Drosophila melanogaster: one gene and its partner. The protein of the gene in region 1 interacts with the protein of each later gene in a pairwise test. Each region holds a gene or a part of one and is shown on either strand. Other genes may lie near its edges.

Evidence for each region. The genes of interacting proteins can lie anywhere in the genome.
Region 2: the proteins of Polr2F (region 1) and Dcps interact in a two-hybrid assay, tested with the Drosophila melanogaster proteins (one large-scale study listed by BioGRID).

Annotation. Positions count from the first base shown.
Region 1 is NT_033777.3:5,370,134-5,374,445, reverse strand, and holds Polr2F (RNA polymerase II, I and III subunit F), read right to left. Parts: upstream 2,652-4,312; 5' UTR 2,560-2,651; coding exon 2,531-2,559; intron 2,469-2,530; coding exon 2,102-2,468; 3' UTR 2,049-2,101; downstream 1-2,048. Other genes in the region: hd (humpty dumpty), read left to right, coding at 56-213, 271-1,771; CG34277 (uncharacterized protein), read right to left, coding at 2,971-3,011, 3,070-3,960, 4,023-4,026; CG31542 (uncharacterized protein), read right to left, coding at 4,196-4,312. UniProt on the Drosophila melanogaster protein: DNA-dependent RNA polymerases catalyze the transcription of DNA into RNA using the four ribonucleoside triphosphates as substrates.
Region 2 is NT_033777.3:5,752,044-5,756,724, reverse strand, and holds Dcps (decapping enzyme, scavenger), read left to right. Parts: upstream 1-1,950; 5' UTR 1,951-2,047; coding exon 2,048-2,216; intron 2,217-2,277; coding exon 2,278-2,424; intron 2,425-2,485; coding exon 2,486-3,294; 3' UTR 3,295-3,407; downstream 3,408-4,681. Other genes in the region: Sec8 (secretory 8), read left to right, coding at 3-404, 458-1,061, 1,116-1,322, 1,391-1,567.

The DNA of each region.
Region 1 (4,312 bases):
GTAAGGACTCGGAGGAGCACCTGCCCGCCACTAATGTTGTTGTTTCGTTTTCCAGTTCATCAAACTGCAGCGGCTCAAGCAGAAGAAGAACAAATTGGCAGCCCGCGTGAGCAACAACAACAATAGGCGGCCAAGACACCAAGTGGATGAGACGGATAAAAGCAAGCTACTGGAGGCTAAGCTCGCCCAGAAGCGAAAAAATCCGTTTGCGAAGTGAGTTTCCCTCTCTCTCGCTCTCCCCAAAATCCAATTACTGACTCCCTGCCTCAGATCCACAGCTGATGCCAAGAAACTGCGCGTTGATCCGCAACTGGCGGACCTCGAACCAGTGGTCACTGCCTCCTCCTGCTTTGTGCGGGAAACGCCCACGCGCCCGGCGCCCGCCAAATTCGTGCTCCAGAAGTACGACCCGCAGGCCTTTGCCAAGCTCTTCCAGCATCCCCAAATCAACGCTGAGGACGAGGACGATGCGGAGTTGGCCGCCCGGCAGAAGCACACCGCCCACCTACCTGTGGACTGGTCCCTGAAGACGCGAGCCCGTTTCTTCTGTCCCACGGAACTGCCTGCCATCCAACTGAAGACCTCGCAGCTGGCCAGCGGACTCACCAGCTTCGTGCGCTGCATGGACCCGCAGCGAACGGAGAGCACGCTGGATATCTCGGACGCAACGCGGTTCAACCAATGCAATTACTACTGGCAGCACCCGCACCTGCCCTGGCTGACGCTCTACCCGCGCACCGCCAAGGAGAACGTGGGCGTGGTGGTGGGTGAGCGGGAGCGCAAGGCCCTGGCCGAGGAGTGGGACTTCAGCTTCCGGGGCCTATTTCAGCTGCTGCGTGCCCGCCAGTGCCCGTACTTCTACCTGTGTGCCAACACTTTTACGGTGCTGTTCCGAGCTGCCGGAGTTGGCGGTCGGCCGGAGAGCCACGCCTTGGTCACGCCGTCGACTCGGGGAATGCGGCAAGCTCTGCGACAGGAGGGGATCGAGTTCAGCATGCCTCTTAAGAGCGATAACAGTGGAAACGCGCACGACAACAGTTTTAACGAGGAGAGCACTACCACCTCGCTAGGTCCAGAAGCGGGCGAAGATGCTCCTCCGCCGGCACAGGAAGATGAAGACGACGACGAGGACTGGCTGGAGAGCTTGGGCGTGGATGAGCGTGAGCTGCGACGTATCCAGTCCTCCCATGCCAGGAAGCAACAAGCTGCCGAAATGCGAGAGGACTTTAGCGACAACTCCTTGCTGCTGGTCGATGGCGTGGAGTGCCAGGGATTCTTTAGCTATCTGCTAAATGCCAAGAGTGCCATCAGCACAGTGGGCCGTCTGGCCGGAGTGCCTCCCACTCTGCTGTCGCCAGTGGCCTTCCCCAAGGCCACCATGCAGCACTTGGTTCCGCGGTCCAAGAAAGTGCGTCTGGATGGCGTCGACTACTTTAGCATAGACATTAAGGGCCTAATCCTACCTACATTCCTGCCCAGTGTGGCGGAGCTGCTGTCCGAGACGCGCCAGATGTTTAGCTCCACGCTGGCCAGCAGCATCAATACGCTGGCCTTTAGCAAGGCCACCCAAAAGCTGCTTGAAACTCCGGAGACGCCACAGTCAGATGCGGAAGGAGAAGATGCCGCCGGGCAGGTCTTTGGCGAGCAGAATCTTTCGGAGTGTGGTCTGCTGCCGGCAGTAGTTGGCTCCATCTGCCGCACGGGCCAACATGCCGTAGGTCTTTTAGAGCGCGTTTGCTATCAAAGAGATGAGGGATATGCTTGGAGCTAGACACCAAGTGCTCCTCACACTAGAGCAGCTTTGTTTTCCTAATCTGTACGTCTGTTATGTGAAATAAAATATTGTAGTAGAATAGCAAGCCCGTGGTGTCATTGTTTTTCGTACTAATCGCATGGTAGCAAGTATCTGTGGCTACTTCAGATTATAGCGGTATTAAGAGATAATATTAAAGCAAAGGGATTGCTTACAAGATAACTATCGTGTAGCAATTAGCGCTTGCAGTTCGTCATTACATTAAGTCCCCGGGAATTCAGCAGCCAAATTGATTGTGCTTAATCTTAGGCGGTATGATTTATTATGGATAAAGGGGTTGAGTACTAGCTAGTTGTCCACCATGATGAGCTCGTCGATGCTCCAGTCCTCGTAGGAGTGATCCGGCAGGTATCGGCGGATGATGATGGGAATTTTCTTTTGTTTCAGCTCTTTCATGGCGATCTGCAGGGGGTCCGTTTCCCCGTCCAGCTCCACCATGATGGGTGCGCACATGGCGATCTGAAGCGCTCGTGTGCCCAGAACTCTGGCGCGCTCGTATTTCGTCATGTACTTTGTGGTAATGCGCTTGGACTTGGGCACACCGCCTCCGCCCGCACCACCGGGAGCTATGATCTCGATGTTGTCCGCCTCCTCCTCCTGGTTAATGTCCTCGTCCACGTCCTCGTCGACGTCGTCGAAGTCATCGCCGCCAACGCTGCAATTGTTAAGTAGGTGATTAATGGGCACAGCTATTGATTGTGTTACGCCTGCACTTACTCGTCGTTGTCGTAGTCCGCATCATCCATCACTGCTTTTCTATTGTTTTAATCGAAATTAAATAGTAAAGTGCGGCGTGTTTTGCACGCGTCGCAGTCTTCTTCTTCTTTCACACTGCTGCATGCGGTTTTCAGCACTGGAGCACAGTGCGCAGAACTTCCAGTGCTTCTCAAACTTTCAGGGCTGCATTTCTGGCAAATGGAAAAGTGATTACTTATCGAATAGCCGTCTGTGTCGCGAGTATTTGAAATTGGTGGAATTCGTATAAAGGTTAGACTATTTGAATATTTTAAAGTTTAAACTACTAAAATCTGATTTATACGTCTTCCTAAAATAATTTAATCCAATTAGAGTAGTTGATTCCATAAAATTTAAATTATAAATAGTTAAATAATAATCAAATGAAACACTTACCTATTGGTTTGTTATATTTTAGCCCTTCATCTAAACGGACATTTAACGTAATCGAATTCAGTATTTTCTTAATAAAAAAAGGGAATATTAGTCGCCTGCTCCTGGATAACTTGGAAAATACAAACCTTGTAATCCCGGATGAGTTCTGTGATAATATGGACGCTGGAGTGATGCGGTTGGTGGGCGAGTTCTGGGCAAAGATGCCGCGGGACAACCGGCTGGATTAGGTTCGTACGAAGGGGGGTATGCCGGAGAATATCCGGATGGAGCTGGTGGATGTCGATTTCCGGGCGGACTGCTTGGAGCTAGATATCCCGGCTCGTAGTCGTAGTCGACGCAGGTGCGAATGGAGACGTTTCTTCGTCTGCCAGCGGGGCCTCGATGGATGGCTTCCCTGTCGAAGCGATTCAGATCGAAGTTGGCTAGAGGATCCACTTCCCGCTGACGCGTGCTTCTGGGAGGATACGGATAGTAGGGATCCTGGGGTTCCTGGCAGTTTTCATTTATCGCGTGAACGGCGGGCTGAAACGATCGCGAGGAGTCGCTGCATGGAATCTCAGAATGTGGGTCCGGCTGCAGCAGAATTGGCTCCTCCAAAGCCACTTTCCGATTCTCGCCTAACCCGATGGGGTATGGATCCGAATGATACACCCGTGTCCTCCGCGCAGCTGCTCCACTATGTCCGTTTCCTGGGCAATTGGTACAGCATCTCTGCGGCTTGTTCCCGGAGGTGTCGCAAACCATTTGCCTTGCGGGCTCCGGAGCTAAGGCACAGCAGCATCGCTGGCGGATCTTAGTGGGCGGAGGTAAACTACGGCTTATCGGCGCTTGAGGAGTGCAGCAGCACCGGGTTTCCGCAGCCACGCCCTTTGGTGGCCGCTGTGAGCGAATCACGAAGCAGTGGCGACTGCGATTCCGCTCCGGATTCCGCTGGCTTCCGCGGCAGTTGCAGATGTCCTGCCCGGAGCTGAGCTGCGCTGGCCTCCGACCCACCTGGTAGGCGCTCGGACTGTTCCCTGTCCGGAAGGAGACGCTGATGTATTAAAGGAACACACACATACCACCTGTTTTACTTTACCCATTAGCGGTCACATTGGCTTTATTGACCCGGAAAACAGGTCGAAACTGGAAATTTGGCTAACCTGAAATTTGGGAGTACTGTCATGTCATGTTGTGAGCGTTATAATCTGTGTAGCCTGCTGCGTAGCGCCTGCTGGGATCCCAACGTTCTCCCGTGGCACGACATCCAGATCACTGAATGACGCACTTCTTCTGCTTCTTCTGCGATCGACAGTGGCCGCAGGAGTTCGGGTTCTGACTCTGGTTGCCGTGGTGCGGGCGATAGGGTTGCGGTCCTCTGGGCACGTT
Region 2 (4,681 bases), 380 kb from region 1:
AGGCAACCCTGCAGTCTACATGACTTTTTAGACAACTACATTAAGGACACATTCCTAACCAAAGGCCACAACCGCAACCTGCAGCTGACCATAGAGTCGCTGTCGAAGAATCAAGACGCATGGCGCACTATTATAAGTCCTGAGGAAATAAAGGCTCTTAATCTAAGCAGGCCGTTGCTGCAGTCTACTGTGATGGTCGAACGGAGGTTGATGGAAACTAAGAACCTCATTCAAGACTTGCCCTGCTACTCCGAAGACCTGCTTAAAATGGTGTGCGCGTTGTTGAAGGCCTATCGGGAAATATGTCAGGCGGCCTATCGCGGAATCGTGCAGCCAGATTCAGAGGATAAGAGAATTTACAGCGTGGCATGGCTTAAAGATGAAGATATCAGCAGGTTTTTAAAGTAAGTATAAAGGTATAAAAGCTACATGAATTTATAGTTTCTTCACTATTTAGAACGCTTCCCAACTGGACTGATTTAAAGACCTACAGTCAGAAGTCGCGCCACAACCGAAAACTGCATCGCGGAAGCTTTGAGCCGTCGGAGGAGGAGAGCCCGTTGCAGGTTCAGCAGCGCAACATCCGCGAGGCTGAAATGCTGACCAGTAATTTAGGCGAGGGTGGGATCACCCAACAAGAGATTTTGGTCGAGATCAGTGTGCTTAAGGAGCTGGCCATACTGCAGGAGAGCATGGAGTGGTTTTCGTGCCGAGTGTCGGAATTTGCCAACGACTTACGCCGGCCGTTGGTAAACGGACTTAACGCCGTTCCAGCTGAGTGCGGCGCCGACATTGCTGTGAAGGATGGGACGATCAAAGTGATGACTAATCTGGCTTTGGAGTTTGATGAGCTGGCGAACACCTGCCTGCTGGTATTGCATCTGGAGGTGCGCGTTCAATGCTTCCACTATCTGCGCTCGAAGTCGAGTGTAAGGACCAACAGCTATGTGGGCTCCAAGGATGATATCTTGGAGCCCGACCGCCAGGTGCAAGTTCTGACCAAACGACTGTCTGAGATGGATGAGGCGTTTAGTGCCACTCTACATCCGAGGAAGACCAGGGTAAGTTGAATATTCGTCTCCAGTTGCATTTTGCTCGAACGTATTCTTCTCTAGTACATTTTCGAGGGTCTGGCGCACTTGGCATCGCGCATTCTTATCCAGGCCTCCAATTATCTGGAGCACATAGATCAAATAACCGTGCAGCGCATGTGCAGGAACGCGATTGCCCTGCAGCAAACATTGAGTAACATAACTGCCTCCAGGGAAGTGGCTTTGGATCAGGCGAGACACTTCTATGAGCTGCTTTGCATGGAGCCAGACGTAAGAGTGATTGGCCCAAGTTTTGTAATTCACCTTTTTACTTAGAAACACTTTGCACTTACCCACAGGAAATACTCAATGCGTTGCTGGAGCGGGGCACTCAGTTCTCGGAAATGCAGCTGCTCAATGCCTTGCAGTTGTCCTGCAAGTCCTTCGGCATAACCGACGCCAATCTCCTCGCTTCCTATCAGCAGAAGCTGTCGGACATACTAGGCGCCAAGCCCTCGAAGGGAGTAGTTGTGTAGTTAGCGTGGCAGGCGGCGGGTAAAACCAATTTTAATATCCATACTTTTGTTTACATCGGCTGCAGGTGTAAGTGCAAATTGTATGTTAGTGTTAAGCTCAAAATAATTGCGAATGTTCTGAACATGATTGGCGAGCACTTAGTGTTGTAGCCGTTTGTAAAGATACATATTCTAAAGATCATTAACAGTACTTCAATGGCCTATACACAATAAATGAGAATTCAACAACGATGTTTTGACTGTATTAATTTGCTGCATCTAGTGTATCTAATTTTAACATTTTTTCAACTCAACCGGTTGCTAAACCGTTTCAGCAATGTTATTTAACAGGGTTTGAGTGCTCGCTAAATGGACTTACGAAATGAGTATGGAATTTTCGTGCAGCCCAGTCATGGTCACGCTGCCTCTCTGAAAAGCCGCAAGAAAATAAAAATAAATATATCTTTCTAGCTATTATTATTGTTGTTATTATTAACAAAAATGTCGGAAACAGTTGATAGCACAGAGGTAAAGTCGCCGTCGTACGACTTATCCAAGTTCCAACTGAAGCGAATCCTAACCAACAACAGCGTTAGGAAAAGTATATCCCTGCTTGGCACTTTTCCGGATTTAGGAACCGATGATGCCATTGTTGTTTTCGAGAAAAATGGTATAAAAGCGTAAATGAAAGCAACTAATGTTCGCTACAGTATAATCCTTACTAACCGCAGCGTACCGGGAAAGCGATGTGGCCACGGCGTCATCAGAAGAGTCTCCCAAGAAGCCTAGCTATTTTACCGCGGACCTGAAAGTTGACACTGAGTTTATCAACAATATCTACGGCAGTTTTCAGGTTGTGCCGACCCAGGATTTGTGCAGTAAATATTAGATTCATAATTCATACTGATAAATCATAGATTTTTATCATTCATTTCGCAGGTGTGAAAAGCACAGTCATTTATCCCGCCACCGAGAAGCACATCGAGAAATACTCAGTATCTCAAAAGTATCTCATCCGGGAGACTCCTGATCTCTACCAAAGAATAACTCTTCCATATCTCACCTCAAGTCAATTCTCCCTCGAGTGGGTCTACAACATACTCGAGCATAAGCAGGAGACGGAACGTATCGTGTACGAGGACAGGGATCCAAAGACTGGCTTTATCCTTCTGCCCGATCTCAAATGGGACGGACGCAATGTGGAAACCCTCTATCTGCTGGGAATTGTCCACAAGCGCGACATCAAGTCTCTGCGCGACTTGAATGAAAGTCATCTCGATCTTTTGCGCAACGTGCGCCAAGCGTCGAAGGACGCAATTGCCAAGCTATACGGCATTAATCCCAATCAGCTGCGCATGTACTTTCATTACCAGCCGTCCTTCTATCACCTCCACGTGCACATCAATCCAGTACGGAACGATGCACCGGGCATATGGTGCGAGAAGTCCCACATGCTGGACACGGTGATCAACAACTTGGAGCTGATGCCGGACTACTATCAGCGAGCCACCTTGCCGTTTGTCCTGTACGAAGGCAATAAGCTGTTGGATCTCTATGAGCAGGAGCTACCCATTAGAGCGCTGACAGTATCGAGCGACGATAAGGAGCTCCCTGACTCAGACTCTTTGAACGTCGCTCCACCGGAAGGCTTTAGCGATGAGGAGCCGGAGGAGAGGCAGTGCAAGCGCATAAAGTTGGGCTCGCCGGAGCCCAAGGAGGCCGAGTCCGCTGTTCAGGCGTGTGCCTAAACTGGTATTACTTAATGAGAAAGCTAACCCTAGATGTTGCCTATCAAAAATACATCCTACTTATGATCATTCAATTCAAAATAAAGTTATTTTCAAAAATTTCGTTTGAGAGCACTTGCTGGAAGTACACATTATTAATTGTTATAAAATATTCAGAATATTTCTTTTCGTTTCACACATTTAAAAACAGTCGCTTAAGAGAAAACGATTGAATTCTGAGTACCTCGTGAATAGTTGTGATGCCTCACTGCTTTGACATCATTGTAATGGGGTTCGCAAATAAGAATCATATATACACTATTTAACTTCATTTATTTTTTCATATACAAAAATCACGTCTGATCGCTATGACCGCAAAATTACAAGAGCGAAAGAAAGAATACAGTTCAGTTCAATTAGCATCGATATATAAAATGTTAATCCGCTGTTAAGACAGCTGAAGCACCGGGTGACTCCGCTCATAATCCGTACATGCCGCCCGCCAATGCGTCGTCCAGCATGAAGGCTCCTTGTGATTCTTGATCCGTGTGTTGATCATAATTATGTTGAAATCGGAAGTGGACAAAGCTTTGTGATTGACCTCTTTTGAATGCCAGATTTCGTCTTTAATGTAACCACTCTGACTAGCGAGTCCGATCCAGGGTGCAGTTCGACGACTCGGCCTATAGTCCATTTAGCTGGTGGTAGATTATCATCCTTTATAATGACTAAGTCGTTGATGTTAAGATTATCTTTGATTTGGCACCACTTTGGCCGAGTTTGCAAGTGTGATAACCAATCACGAGACCATTGAGACCAGAATTGTCGCGTCATGTGTTGTTGTGCGAGAAATAGTTCACGCAAAGGCTTATTATTCGGCCGACCTTGTGGCGGTGCCAGTAGTGCGTCACCAATTAAGAAATGTGCTGGAGTTAGTACTTCTAAATCGTCAGGGTCGGCGGTTAGCGGGCAAAGTGGACGTGAGTTCAAACATGCTTCAATCCTGATCAAAACTGTAGTAAGCTCCTCATACGTCTGCTTGTGGCTGCCGACGATCCGTTTAAGATGATGCTTCATTGCTTTCACGTTTGCCTCCCAGATGCCACCAAAATTGGGAGAATATGGAGGTGTGAAATGCCACCTTGTCCCATGTTGACATGTCGATTCGTTTAGGGCTGCCTTGCAAGTGATGGGCTGGTTAAGCGATGTACTCGCGCCAACAAAATTTGTGCCGTTATCACTATACATATGTTGAACTTGTCCTCGACGTCCGGTGAATCGCGTAAATGCTTGCAGGAAGTGCTCTGTTGAAAGTCCAGTGACGGCTTCCAAGTGGACCGCCTTGGTTGCTAAGCATATAAAAATGGCTACATAGCCTTTGTAGGTGGTTGATCCTCGTACACGCGCG